2 linked regions of the Drosophila melanogaster genome follow. The protein of the gene in region 1 purifies or fractionates together with the protein of each later gene. This does not show direct contact. Each region holds a gene or a part of one and is shown in the gene's direction. Other genes may lie near its edges.

What was found.
Region 2: the proteins of Prosalpha4 (region 1) and CG10638 purify together in Drosophila melanogaster (affinity purification with mass spectrometry, with the first as the bait; one large-scale study listed by BioGRID). This does not show direct contact.

The regions. Positions count from the first base shown.
Region 1 is NC_004354.4:16,272,947-16,279,600, forward strand, and holds Prosalpha4 (proteasome alpha4 subunit), read left to right. Parts: upstream 1-3,323; 5' UTR 3,324-3,471; coding exon 3,472-3,573; intron 3,574-3,650; coding exon 3,651-3,880; intron 3,881-3,945; coding exon 3,946-4,363; 3' UTR 4,364-4,641; downstream 4,642-6,654. Other genes in the region: kat80 (katanin 80), read right to left, coding at 1,338-1,555, 1,618-1,745, 2,587-2,620; Mfe2 (peroxisomal multifunctional enzyme type 2), read left to right, coding at 1-666. UniProt on the Drosophila melanogaster protein: The proteasome is a multicatalytic proteinase complex which is characterized by its ability to cleave peptides with Arg, Phe, Tyr, Leu, and Glu adjacent to the leaving group at neutral or slightly basic pH.
Region 2 is NT_037436.4:12,496,148-12,504,702, reverse strand, and holds CG10638 (uncharacterized protein), read left to right. Parts: upstream 1-3,391; 5' UTR 3,392-3,466; coding exon 3,467-3,538; intron 3,539-3,660; coding exon of another isoform or gene 3,661-3,828; intron 3,829-3,902; coding exon of another isoform or gene 3,903-4,072; intron 4,073-4,148; coding exon of another isoform or gene 4,149-4,491; exon of another isoform or gene 4,492-4,502; intron 4,503-4,550; coding exon of another isoform or gene 4,551-4,730; exon of another isoform or gene 4,731-4,902; intron 4,903-4,933; exon of another isoform or gene 4,934-5,101; intron 5,102-5,214; coding exon 5,215-5,382; intron 5,383-5,438; coding exon 5,439-5,954; intron 5,955-6,015; coding exon 6,016-6,213; 3' UTR 6,214-6,597; downstream 6,598-8,555. Other genes in the region: vih (vihar), read right to left, coding at 51-157; CG10646 (uncharacterized protein), read left to right, coding at 876-1,046, 1,098-2,078; CG10681 (uncharacterized protein), read right to left, coding at 2,228-2,699, 2,756-2,922; CG10657 (uncharacterized protein), read left to right, coding at 7,693-7,693.

The DNA.
Region 1 (6,654 bases):
TTGCCCAACAGCCAAGTGGACTTCAGCAACATTCTGCACGGCGAACAGTACCTAGAGATCGTTGACGATCTGCCCACCAGTGGCACTTTGCTGACCAACGGCAAGGTCTTCGATGTTATGGACAAGGGATCCGGCGCCGTGGTCGTCACCAATAGCGAGTCGTTCGACGAAAGTGGCCGCCTGTTGGTGCGCAACCAGAGCACCACTTTCATTGTCGGCGCTGGCAAATTCGGAGGCAAGAAGGATCCCATCGCTGGTGTAGTTCCGCTGCAGCCGGCGCCCAATCGCCAACCGGACGCAACCGTCCAGTATACGACCAGCGAGGACCAGGCGGCGCTGTACCGTCTGTCCGGCGACAAGAACCCCCTGCATATCGATCCCCAGATGGCCCTGCTGGCCGGCTTCAAGACACCCATCCTCCATGGACTCTGCACACTGGGCTTCTCGGTGCGCGCCGTGCTCGCTCAGTTTGCGGACAACAACCCGGCTCTGTTCAAGGCTGTCAAAGTGCGCTTCTCCGGACCCGTAATTCCGGGCCAGACTTTGCGCGTGGACTTGTGGAAGCAGGGCACACGCATCAACTTCCGCACCGTGGTCGTGGAGACCGGCAAGGAGGTCATATCCGGCGCCTATGTCGACCTGAAGAGCTCACAGGCCAAGCTGTAAGCGCGGATCACCTAGAGACACATAGTCTGCCTTAGTCGCAATGGATTATCATTGACTTTATAATTCGTTTCGCGTCCGTTTTTTTTTGTACATACACTATAACAAATATGCCTATACATATGCAATTGTTTAAACGCCCGTGGTGGTAGAAGTATTTTTTTGTAACACTTTTATAAAACTCCCAATAAAACATCACATAACTGAAAATGCAATGTTGTTTAAGATCATGGATGTAATAGATCTGAGAGATAAGATATATGAGATCCCAAAAGAAATATCAACTTTAGCTAAACAACACAAAGTGATATTATCTTTGTCAGCCTGTCCCCTTTTGTGCAATGTAGTGAGTCATATTATCTTTGTTTTACACATATATAGGTCAAGTGATATCTAAGAAAAGACCATATAGATACAATGCATCTAATATGTATGTGCATTAAACCGATATAAAATTTCTAATTTCTAAATATGAGATTTTTCTTTTGTGTAGATTATTAAACCCAAAATACGCGATTCTATAGGATTAAGCACAGCTAAAAGAGGGAGGGAGAATATCGCCATCCCTTTTCAATCAACGAATAAACTTTAAATCTGCCACTTGATAAGGAAACTAGAGCTTCCGAATGACTCATGGGTTACTCTGACTATTTATATATCGGTCCTTGGCTCACCTGACGGTGGTATCATTGCTCCCGGACACCACATATTCTCCAGACGGGTTAAAGTCCAGAGTGCGAACACTCTTCATGTGGCCATTTAGCGTGGAGTAGATTTTCTGTGAATTCAGATCCCATCTTCGGATTATACCGATGTCGTCGGCGGAGTAGACAAAGTTATCCTTATAAGCAAAACGCACGCAATCGATGGAACGATTGTGGCCCGTCAGAGACTGAAAGGAAAGGGTCACCGATTAGTACATACATATATTTAGGAAGTAGTTAGTATATTCACCATAAAGCACTCATTTTGACCAATCGCCCAGAGGTTCACATTGCGATCCTCTCCTCCGGTGACCAGCACTCGTCCAGTTTCGCCAAGATCAAGGCTCGTGACCCTGCTATCATGTGCCTTTATATCGTCTGCAAAGGATGAGAATTGGTTAGTCCTCTTCGGCAAGTTTTCATGATATGATGATATAGTTAGTATGTTCAGATTAAGCTATGCTTTAAACAACAGCTTTTCAAGATCAAAAGGAAAACTTACAACAAATATATAATAATAAAAATATGATATTTTCGTATTAGTATATACTCAATAAATACAATTTTATAATGATTTTTGAATCTTTTCAAAGGAAACTGTGTCGATATAAATAAATAAGTACCTTTTACGTTATCCACATTTATGAATGACAAGGATTACTAGTATTTTGAAAAGCAAAACAGATAAAATAAAGCTAGGAAATCGATGTACATACATACATATGTACAGTATATATGTACATACATATGTACGTAAATGTACGCATTTCAAAGAAATTGAAAACTTGTTCCCAGATTAAAACCTTTTTGAACTTCTATAGTTCTTGGGATTGAATTGAAGTTTTCTAAAGGCTATATACAAATATTATTTTAAAGTCTGAAGAAGCCGTATGATGTTTATTTGATATTGATATTGCGTTGTAAAACAAGATATTAATTACTTTAAAACGAACAATTCAGCTGCAGCTGCACTCAATGTTCATATGTATCTACATACATACATATGTGCACCTGGGGATTTTCCTATTGGATATCTGCATTGTTTATAAGAACGCGTGGTATTGTTTTAAAAGTTACTGAAGTTGCATGCAACACTAGAATTTACGATAGGATTTCAAACACGCACGCACACACACATATATACATGCAGTCGTATTTCTACGTGCTTGTGTGTGTGTGGGAATATACAACGGTACTTTCGAACATTCGGTTTACTTACAGATCTTGGATATCAGTTTTCTGGGCAGCGCCATAATCAATCAAATTGTTCTTATATAAATACGCTGGCAGCTGCTAAATTCGATCCGAATGCCAGGTTTTCGAATAAATATTATCTTTTTGTAGCAGGTGTGAGCCAAAGTCTGTGATCAGCTGTCTGGGCTCCCGTCTTTTTTGGGCAAAATGAAGCCCACTTATTTACGAAACGAACAACAAAACGCACTGAAACAAAATCACACGGTGTGTAAAACCTTTACGAACCGATATCACCGTGATCGCATTGTTTAAAAACAGATAATCTAAATGTTTAATCGGACAATTCTTATTAACAAAAACAAATGCACATCACATTGTAATTACAGCGACGACGAGGGCTGCAGCAAGCTGTCGATGAACACCGATTACCAGGGCCGGCATAGCGATTGCATTTTGTACATTTAAGTAACAGTCGTTGGTTATAATTATTAATACATATATATATATATATATTGAAAATAATTTGTATTATAAATTTGTATTATTAAATAACAATAATAACAGATAATGTGAAAAAAAATTAATTGATATTTTACTAAATTATTTACAGCCCTGAAGCTGTAAAACGGTTTACAAAAGTATTAAATTAAATATTTAAATAGACTAAATGGAATAGAATATTAAATAGACTGAAGTAACAAGAATTGAATTGATTCTGATACATGATTTCAGCAACGATATATCGTTCACTGCGAAACGGTATTAATTTAGTAATTTTCATCGAACCCATGCTGCGGTCACACTGCGGCATTTCCTCAAAAAAGCATCATCATTGCCTGGCGAATTCGAGAAGGAAAAAGCTATAAGTTAATATTCTGCAAGTACCTCAGCTATTGAATAAAGCAACAAGATGTCCTCACGCTACGATCGTGCTGTAACCATATTCTCTCCCGACGGTCACCTCCTGCAGGTGGAGTATGCCCAGGAGGCCGTTCGCAAGGGATCGACTGCGGTAAGTGCAATTTAGTACCGTTCGCAGTGCCGCCAAACCGAAACAAACATGGACTTTTCCAATTTTTCGCCTCGCAGGTCGGAGTTCGCGGCGCCAACTGCGTTGTGCTTGGCGTGGAGAAGAAGTCGGTGGCCCAACTGCAGGAGGATCGAAAGGTGCGCAAGATTTGCATGCTCGACAACCACGTTGTAATGGCTTTTGCCGGTCTCACGGCCGACGCTCGCATCATGATCAATCGTGCCCAGGTGGAGTGCCAGAGCCATCGTCTCAATGTCGAGGATCCCGTGACCCTCGAGTACATAACCAGGTGAGGATTTGTGAAATAGTTGCGCTCTAAATTAGCTTCTATATGGTTTTGGCCTTTCATTTTAGATTCATTGCCCAGCTGAAACAAAAATACACGCAGAGCAATGGCCGCCGTCCCTTCGGTATTTCCTGCCTTATTGGCGGCTTCGATGCCGATGGCTCTGCGCATCTGTTCCAGACTGAGCCGTCGGGCATTTTCTACGAGTATAAGGCTAACGCCACCGGGCGATCGGCAAAGGTTGTGCGCGAGTTCTTCGAGAAGTCCTACCGCGAGGAGGAGGTGGCCAACGAGCACGGAGCCGTCAAACTGGCCATCCGTGCGCTGCTCGAGGTGGCGCAGTCAGGCCAGAACAATCTGGAGGTGGCCATCATGGAGAACGGCAAGCCACTGAAAATGCTGGACACCGATGTCATTACCGATTATGTTAAGATCATCGAGAAGGAGAAGGAGGAGGAGCTCGAGAAGAAGAAACAGAAAAAGTAACACCCAGCAGCTGGGACACTTCTTCGATGGAAGGCCGTTGCATTGAATCGCTTTCCATGCATTCGGCGACACTATCTGGTGTCGCCGCCCACATTCTGTCTGCTCATTGTAGCCAACCTGATTTGACTTGGAAAACGATTCAAATTGAATTCGGTGAACCGAATGCATACTTTTTTTAATTACCACTTTCTATTCTTCGGAACCCTGTAAAACGGTATGAAAATATTTGATCTGTATAAAATACATGCGTCATCATACATTAGGCGGAGCTCCTGTTGAATATTCGAACTTTGTTCTTGCATTTGGGATTCAAGATTGTTCACGGGAGGATTATGGGCAAGCTATTGGGGGGTATAAAGGGTTAAAAAACTTACATTAGTGGTATGACATTGCACTTTAATGGCAACGTATCATCAGGCCCAAAAAAGTAATTGTAAACATACCACGATTTTACTGGACTTTATTGCTATATATTGTACATGTTTCGTAATTGAAAAGTACACATTTTCCAGTTGGGATATTATACAAGCAAAAGAACGGGGGAAGAAAAAAATAAATTGTATTCAAATAAAAATTTCATTTGGCGGGCTCTTGCAAAGAGCAACAAGAAATGCAATGACAGTCTGGCAACGCCGTATTAGCACGACTCTCCATGCTAAGGCGATTTTCTGGGAACACCTATATAAAAAGAATGTGCAGATAGAAAGCTTTGGAATATTTCAATAGCTTGGAAATATTAGAAAATGTGATAAAAACACGCCAGTAAGGTGCCGGTCTGACAGTCTGGCAGCACTGTTCTTGTCGAAAAGTTGTCTGCGAAAAGTTTTGCATTAAAAATCAACTTGTTAGCAAGTTAAGAGTACGAACTTATTCCAATTCTAATTGGAAAACTCCTAAATTGTGATAATTTCGTAAAAAACTCTATGCAGGCTCGTGCAGTGTGCCCAGCTGGTGGCTAAGCGCAAGTACCTTCATTCGCGCGCCACTTAACTGAGGCGTTTTGGTATTCCCTGCAGATGGAGCGACCGGTTGAGCGATCCGATTGTTGCACCGATAGTTCGGCAGCTATATATTCCAAGTCGGAACCGAATCGTTTGCATCGCCCGCTGTTCGTTCCCCAGTCAAATTTGTGTGTTGTGTGCGCCAATTTCAGCGGGGGCCAAAATCGATAATCTGGTTGTGTGATTTTCGCGGCTTTTTTTTTGTGTTTTCTTTTAAAAAACAATCAATACCCGAAGGTAACGTGTGTAGACAACTAACAATTCACCTCAGTGTGCGTTTGCATTCGTTGACGCTTGACATATTGGTACACATTTTATTATTATTTTACCTTGTTTGTCGTTTTCAAAACTCAAATTGCATGCGAAACACGAATCAAATCCAGTCGAATGAAATCGAATCCAATCGAATCACTATCTGAATTCAGAACCACCGAATCGGAATCAAAATCTGGTATGGGAATCCTTCGAATCAACCAACAAATATCGCACCGGGTTCAGGAAAAAGGATGCTCGGATTGTGGGATGGGTCGTTGTGGTAAGGGGGTCGTGGGCGGGGGTTCTTAACCCAGAACGCGCTTAAGGCCCCTTCGCACGACCTAAATTCCGCATGGAATCGCCGCTTTTGAGGCTTAAAAGAGGTCTATAATGTGACTGGCAAAGTAATGTAGCTTATTTATATTTTAGTTTCATTCACAACATTTAAGTTTACAGAATTCGAGTAGTATAACGGGATATAAGGGAAACTTAGCCCGTGCAGATGAGCCCTAATCCCACCTACTATGCACACACATGCAGTTGTACCCTTGCACGTACTACACACATTGCCACTGTATGCGTAAACTTTTGGCCTGGCTAAAAAACCAAAATAAAGATGAAAAAATGAAGAAAGTGCGAAACAGAAAACATGTTAATATTAAAGCAAATGTCCCGTGCTAACGCGCCCGCCCCCACCTGTGCTATTGGGCCCTGGGCTTTTCACCTGATTTCCGATCTTACATACGTTCGCATGTACATAATGTACACTTGATTTGCGTGGAGTATGTACATACACATGTATGTACATTCACGTATTCACAAGATTAGCATTTTACGCCCTATTTATTTGTGCGCGAGTGTGGGTGCATTCCCTGGCTCCAGGAGCGGAGTCGGCGGGGTCATTTTGGGGCGTCACCCCCCAAAACAGTTTCAATTGTAATAAAATTTAGTGGATACAGCATAATTCCGATTTAAAATTGCCTTTGATCAAATTAAAAACTTAGCCACCCTCTCGCTCCGGCCCTGTATTTTAAG
Region 2 (8,555 bases), on another chromosome or scaffold:
GTGTGTGTGTATATTGGCGGATTATCTAGGCTGCACCATGTGCTACTCACCTTTTGCTCACGGCGTGATTGTCTTTCACGGGCATGGAGTCATCGCTGTGCTTGCTGCCGCCGCCGCCTGCTCCACCACTTTGCTCGGGGCTGATATTCTGCGCCATGACTATATATCTACGTCTATATATGTAGGATGCTAGTGCTATCCGCTGTTTGGCTTTCAGTATGTGCGTGTAATTTAGCGCGCTTCGTGGCGGTCGGGTTTTCGATTCTCAATTGTGATTATATGTACTGTATAGTGGAAATTTAGTTTGATCGGTCGGAATACGCGTCTGTTGCTTTTTCAGATATTTTTTTTTTCACTTTTGTGTGAAAACAAAATGGAAGGAGAACGAGAAGAAACTGTGTTTGGGCACAGGGTTGTATTTCATTTATTTTTGGGGGGAGTCGATACGCTCTCTTGGCGTGGTCGAACGGTCACACTGGCCGAGAGATAACGGAAAATGTTTCAAAGGTAAGTAAAGATTATAAACGTATTAAGCTTAATACTATAATTAGCTTACTATTCCAAGTATGTATAATTATTACACGTTTAAAAGGCATAACGTTAAGTGTAACCAAATTATATCAATGGATTTTGAATACCAATATTATTTATTTTATATTTTGAGCTTAATATATTAAATCACATATATTTAAGCCTCTTTATATATGTAAATATTTTAATTTTATTAAAATAAATTATATATTGTTTTGTAATATGATCGAGGGCTGCCACCTTGTGATAAATGCTTACCAACACTTTTAGGTACGCCGTTTAGTGTACGTAAGTTGCGTACCTAGATATCCAGCGAAATCAAAACATTGAGTAAATCGTGGAAAATGGATGAAAATAGCTTAATCTACGGACTCGAACTGCAGGCGCGGGCTTTAACACCTCAGTACGGAGAGAGCAACGATGTGTGCTTCTTCATAGCCACCAACTCCTTGAAGCCCACCAATCAGGTTCACTTAATCCAGTACGAGGAGGAGCAGGGATCCGTGCAATCAAAGGTGAATATCTGGGATGATCAAAGTATGAGCTAAACATACAACTTTGAACAGGTCTTTGAGCACGCCCTGGGTGAAGTTTGGAAACTAAATAGTTGTCCGCGTAATCCTCGCCTGCTGGCCTCCGTCTACAATGTACAAAAGGGAGCACAAGTGCTGACCAAAGCGGCTCTGTTTACGCTGCCCGAGAATCTCAATCCCGATCCGGAGCAGCTGAAGTCAGAGTACCTGCCGTGGGAGCAGGTTGAGGTCCTGGATACCGAAGCACTGGGCGAACGTGTGAAGACCATCGAATTCCATCCCAACCAGGACACACTCGCCTGTGTGGTGGACAACAAGGTGGCTGTGATGCAGCGGGCCGAGTCCTCTACTCGCGTGGTGGCCGAGGTGCCGGCCAGTGGTTCATCCAGTGGATCTGCAAAGCACACACAGCATTTCACCAGCGGCAAGTGGTCGCATCATCATCAGGGCCACCAGTTTCTCACCCTCCAGGATGGCAATCTAAGTGCCTACGATGTGCGGGATACACAGCATTGTGCCTGGAGCATCAACGATGCGCATGGTCAAATGGTCCGTGACCTGGACTGCAATCCCAACAAGCAGTGCCATTTGGTCACCGGCGGTGACGATGGCTACTTGAGGATCTGGGACTGTCGCATGCCCAAGGCTCCCGTTTTCGAGCGCTCCGATCATTCGCATTGGGTCTGGTGCGTTCGCTTCAACACATTCCACGACCAACTGATCCTCTCCAGCTCCAGTGACTGCAAGGTGCTGCTCACGTGTGCGGGATCGGTTAGTTCGGAGACGCAGGTTCAGGCTGGACTAGATGAGTCCAACTTCAGTGGTGCCGATGCCGAGGAGAGGCACAAACTCTTGCCAGATGGTCTGCTGCAGACCTTCGATCAGCACGAGGACTCCGTTTACTGCGCGGAGTGGAGCAATGTGGATCCGTGGATCTTTGCTTCGCTCAGCTACGATGGTCGCGTCATAATCTCAAAGGTGCCCAAGCAGTACAAGTACCAGATTATATTTTAAGCCATTAGTTTCTTAAATTATTACGCATATTTCATTTAAATCTAACTAAACGAATTGTGTCCTTGTATGTAGTAGCAGGTTATACAAATATTAAACCAATAAGTTATTATATGAAGATAAATATATCGAGGGACTAAAGCTAATTAGGCTTAACCTGTATCCTCGGATGTGCAGTCGGAGGAATCATTGGGATTGGCAGTTTCCACGGAACAAACTCGCTTGATCAGCTCGTTTTCGATCTCCACAGTGCCATTGTCCACTGCCTCCTCCATCTGCACGTACTCTATGGTGGCGGCACTTTTCTTGGTGGATAGGACAGGTTTTGCGGCAGCAGGAGCAGGTGTTTCTGCAGTCTTTTTAGCCTGGGCTTCCGTATCATCCTCGGCTTCCTCAGCCAAACTGCTACGCTGCGGCTGAACTTCGGCGTAAATGGCGGGAAACTGCGACTGTAGCTTCTGCTTGATGATCCGTATCTTGCGGAATATGTAATCCAGATCCTTCTTCATTTCGCTCAGGCATTTCACGTGTCTTTTGAAATCCTCGCTGGCACTTTTCAAACGACTCTGCGATAAGGCATTGCAGTTGAGCAGCATCTCGTTGGTTTTCTCAAAGCGTTGCAGCCTGTGGGATATATTTTGGATGTTTATTATAATCTCTGGTTAAATGAAATGGCTTACATTTGCTTTTGAGCCCGTATCATGGTCTCCACATCGCCCTGATTCACCATTCCTGCGAGACTTTGAATGAAGGCCTCGGCGGCGGAGTTGCCGAAGCCAGTGAAGGATTCCAGGTCAGGAGTGGCATCCTCGGACTGGTGCACATCCGCAAGGCCCAAGTGGCTCATTGTAGCCTAGAATTTATTTGTTTATAATAAGGGAGAACACAAAAATTGATTTGTTTACTTGCTTTTCAAGGTCTCAAGGTTTCTTTGCGACAACTTGAACTCTGCTTTGTGTGCGTTTGCTGGCAGTTTTAGTTTTTTCTATTTTTATTTACGTTTTCAAATGGATCTCATGTTTCCATCTATTTTAAAAGTTCTTTTGTTTAGATTTCTTAAAAAAAAAGATATTTTCGTAACAGCTGTTTAAGTACTAGTTATAAACCAGTGCTGCAAGCTGCCAAAATGCAAAAGCACTGCCGTAATTAAATTTGAACATTTTACTTTTTAACATAAAATTAACACTGTTTTATGACAACATTTGTTCCTATTTAATATAAATCAAAGTTTCTTTAGCTATTTAAACACTTAAAAATATTTAAATAATAAAGCTTAGCAGAATGGCATTGGGTATTTTTACGCAAAGCCGTTTTGGTCACACTATGCTCACCGGCTTTTTTTTTATTAAGCGATTGAATTTCCTTATTTATTCTTGATTTAAACGTGCAAAATGAAGCTCGCTCCGACTGTTAAGCTAAACAATGGCTACGAGATGCCAATTCTGGGCCTAGGAACCTACAATGTAAGTCCTTATCATCGGCGATGCTAATAAATCAGCAGGCAGAAATTGTTTATGGAAATTTCTACCATTCAATTCCAATTAAGTGCAATTGTGAAATTGAAAGTTAATTATGTTATCTGTAGTTAAAGAAGTCTCGCTGTGAGGCTGCCGTGTGCCACGCCCTCGAAATGGGCTATCGGCATATAGACACCGCATATCTGTACAGGAATGAAGGCATTATAGGCAAGGTTTTAGCTAAACTTATTGGCGACCAGAAACTGAAACGCGAACAGGTGTTTCTGGTCACAAAGGTAGGATATAGTACAGATGGGTTATATATAGTTACCAGCACATGTAAATAGATCGAAAATCAATATCCAATTAGCTGTGGGACATATACCACGAACCCAAGATGGTGAAATACGCCTGTGATATGCAATTAAAGCTACTGGGCGTGGACTATATAGATCTATATCTGATGCATTCGCCGGTGGGCGTGGACTACATCTCTGATGAAGATCTGATGCCCCACGAGAATGGCCAGCTGAGGACCAAGTGAGTTTGGGATACAACTAAACATACATAGTTTAGATTCAAGAAGCTTAAAGAAACTGATCTTTGGAACTTATAGCGATGTGGACTATGTGGACACCTACAGAAGTATGGAGCAACTGGTGCATCTGGGGCTGGTGCGCAGCTTGGGATTGTCCAACTTTAATGCCAATCAGCTGAAGAGATTACTGGAAAACTGCCAAATCAAGCCGGCAAACCTACAAATAGAATGTCATCCGGAATTGGTGCAAGTCCCATTAATTGAGCTCTGTAAATTTCACAATATCACCGTGGTTGCCTATTCGCCACTGGGGCGTCCCAAAGCCTGCAATCCGCTGCCCGATTACTACACTGATTCCAAGCTACTGGCGTTGGCAGCGAAATACGGCAAGACACCAGCTCAAATCATCCTAAGATACTTGGTATAAACGACCTTAGAATTGTAAAGTGATAAAGATATTTATTGGCTAAAAATCTACAGATCGATATTGGCACGGTACCTATTCCAAAAGCTGCCCAGCGAGCCCATCTCGTAGAGAATCTGGATATATTTGATTTCCACCTAACGCCGGAGGAGTTGCTCCAAATGAAGACCTTTAATACAGGGCGCAGAATCTGGAAATTCGATAAAGCGAAGAATCATCAGTACTATCCGTACTAGCAAGAGATATTTAGTGTTCGGAAAAAAAGTGTAACTATGTAAATGTATAAGATAGAATCTCGTTAGATAGTTTAGTTTTTACGTTAGTTTTTTTTTAGTACAATATTACAATGTTATAAAATGTCATCATATCAATCGTTATCATATATAAATATACTATATTTTGTGCTAGATATGATCCTATTAACATTTTAAGTGCTCACCTGGGGAAATAATTATTTGTATCTCTCTAAATGTCTCTATCAAAGTTTATCGAATCTTTCGTGTGCCTTGCGACGTTGATCAGTTGTATAATTTCGGATATTGTTTCGATTTGTCAATTCGCGGCTCTCCGATATGCTCACAATTTCCTGGCCGAAACGAACGTGTTGCTGTGGTCGAAAATAACAATATACTGATCTCAAGAGTCGCATTATAAAACACATATTTGATTCTGTCAGAAAGGAGAAAGGTTAATGATGAATTTGATATTCTCTATTTGCAGTCGAAGGACAACGAAGGCGAAGCCGCTGTGAAACATGCGATTGATGTGGGCTATCGTCATATAGATACGGCCTATTTCTACCAAAACGAGGCCGAAGTGGGCAAGGCGATTCGGGACAAGATCGCAGAAGGTGTGGTCAAGCGAGAGGATATATTTTTGGTCACTAAGGTAAATGCCATGATGATATGTTCTAGATCTATCAATAAGATTATATTTTTGCGCAGCTTTGGAACATTTTCCACGATCCAGAGCGCGTTGAGGGCATTTGCCGCAAGCAGTTAAGCAATTTTGGCTTGGACTATATCGATCTGTATCTGATGCATATGCCAGTGGGCTACAAATATGTAGATGACAACACCCTGCTGCCCAAAAATGAGGACGATGTGCTCCAACTGAGCGATGTCGACTATCTGGATACGTACAAAGCCATGGAAAAGCTGGTAAAACTGGGCCTGGTGCGCAGCATCGGAGTATCCAACTTCAACAGCGAGCAGCTGGCACGAGTTTTGGCCAACTGCGAGATCAAACCCGTCACTAACCAGGTGGAGTGCTCGCCTGCGCTCAACCAGAAGGCTTTGACAGCCTTCTGCAAGAAGAACGACGTCACCTTGACGGGCTACACGCCTTTGGGAAAGCCCAAGCCGGATATTCAGAAGCCGGACTTTATCTATTCGCCGGAGGTGGCTGTTATTGCCAAAAAATATGGCAAGACTACACCGCAGATTGTGCTGCGTTACCTGGTAATTGAGGCATCAACCTGACCTCAGCGACAGCATCTAATTAAAATCTCTCTTTTCGCAGGTTGGTCTGGGTGTCATTCCCATTCCAAAGTCATCGAATACTAACCGAATTTCTGAGAACTTCGATATCTTCGATTTTGAGCTGACAGCCGAGGAAATGGCCGTTCTCGATGGTTATCACACTGGCGAACGGGTGGTGCCATTAAATTTGATTAAGGGCCTCAACCACAAGTACTACCCCTTTTCAATTGAGTTTTAAACCAGATGAGCGCCTTGTTGCTGTATCACGAATATAATGTAATAAATTTGTCATTACATCAATCTCTATGACAACAAATTGAATGCACGAATGTATCTGCATACTTATTCCAAACCCAAATCCAACACAAAGCTCTTAGTGCCTTGATGTTCTCCATGAAATCCGTCCAGTTGCCAACGATCCGATCCGCACCCCACCGTGGAACTTATTCCCAGAAATGAGGAGCAAATGGAAGCATCGATCTTTGGCACGGCACGTTTGACATCCAAGCTAAAAGGTGAAAATGTTTGAATAAGACCGAAATATTAAGTATTAAGCTTTTACGACCAATGGTAATGCGAAGTGCTCAAACTTGGAGATCACCAATGGAGATTCAAATTTAAGTTACATGTGGAAAAAACTGTATACCTGCATTATTTCAATCATTTCAATAGTTGTTCAGCTTAGACATTGATTAATGAACTAGTGATATTTTTAGAAGGTGCTTCAAGCTTTTCTACAGTAACTTTAGATATAGAAAATAGAAAAAAGTTTAGTAAGTAAATAAGACGTAAAAAAGCATATGGATTTAAGATGGATATGTGATTTAAAAAACGTTCTTTTAGAAGAACTTGTGCTGATTGCCAGCTGTTAGCCTAAATTGCTACATCAATTTTAAGGACGCATTTTTTGTTTGCCAACATTCTCTTATCAATGGATCTTCTATTCTGATGTATGGCCAAAAAATATCACGCGGAAGCTATTAGTTGCGCCAACCGCAGAAATGAAGCATGAAAGTATTATGGCTATTAGTTGATGTACCTATTACGCCCGACAGGCTAATTATCTTTGGATTGTTGGGTACATTTTGGGTTAATCGCGCCGCCGTAGACCTTTGTAAATAGCACCTCGGCCTGTGGGGTGACGTCAGAGCCAGCCAAGATGAGCACGGGCTGAATGAAATTGGGGTCGTCTAGCCTTTGAGCTGCCCCAAAATAGTGCATGGATGAGTGAATTAAATAGCGGACCGGACTTGGACTTACGTGCTGCTCCACGAGTCGATTAGAGGAGAATCTGTGGCATGCGCCACCTTGACCCAGGCCAAGAATAACATAACCCACCAAAACCACTTTCCATGCTGCAGATGGGTATCTCCTAGCTGGGATCGGATGCTCACTAAGTGCTCCACTGAGCCTCTTAGCCTCTCCACTCCAACCAAAATTCCACTCAAGCGTTTGAGTGAGTGAATTGCGGCCGAGAGCGTGAGGTTTAAATAAATTTTCAGTCAAAAAATTGGCAGTTTCGCTCCAAGCGTGCCCACGTTCACATCGTCGCCAGTTCAGTTGCGGAACTCATACACGGATATATATACACATATATTCCGGCGATCAATTAGAGCCCCGGAATTCAGCCACATCCCTCCCCTGCGACGCGTCCAAATATTGTTATATAAGTTTAACAACTTGTGAAATCCACGCAGTGCCAGTGCGTAAGACCAAAAGTGAGTTGAGCTGAGAATTACAACCCCCCCCCCCCCCCCCACATATACCATCTATTTGGTTGCAAAACCAAAAAGGATCGAATCGTGCATTATGTAAAGGCCCGAGAAAAGCGAGGTGGCGGGGAAAAACTTTCGCTTTCACCCAAGTACAGCTGGCTGCAGCTGCTGCGCATGCGCAGATACATTCGCAGATTGCTACTGTTTGCCGGGGATAAACCAGCCACACTATCGACTTGAATAAATCAGGTTCCCAAATAAGATACATTTGTACTTTTTGAGCCAGAAAAGATAGATTCTTAGAATGATACTATAGTTGGTAAATATATAAAATTATAGATATGATATATGAGCTATTTTTAAAGGATTTTTTCATAGGCTCTTTTCATAGTAAGCTATTAAAATGTTTTCTAAAATCTTTGCGCAATAATATTTCAATTTAAAATGTAAATAATAATAATATTTTTAGTTATATTTCGCTAGCTCCTTGAATTTCTCCCAGTGTAGCACTTGCACACCTTTGTTGATTGCTCTAAACTAGGTGCGTGGGTGTAGCCAAACTAAAATCGTATAGTTTTTTGTTTAGAGCCTTTTAATTGTGCTTTATTGACCCACTGCAAGTGCTTCGCTCTAGTCAATTATTTAAAGGCCAATAGTTAGCAGCTCTTCGAGAGTTTTGTAATTCTGTTTGCTGGCTTAATTGCCCAGCCAGACCACAAGAGGCCCGGGCGCACAAGGTCTTCTCGGCCGACAGCCGAAGTTGGCCAATACCGTAAAAGCCAAGTTGGTCGGTTATGTTGTTTGGTTGGAAAACGTACTCAATGCAATGCAATTTGTGCGGTTCGCATATAAATATTCATGGCAA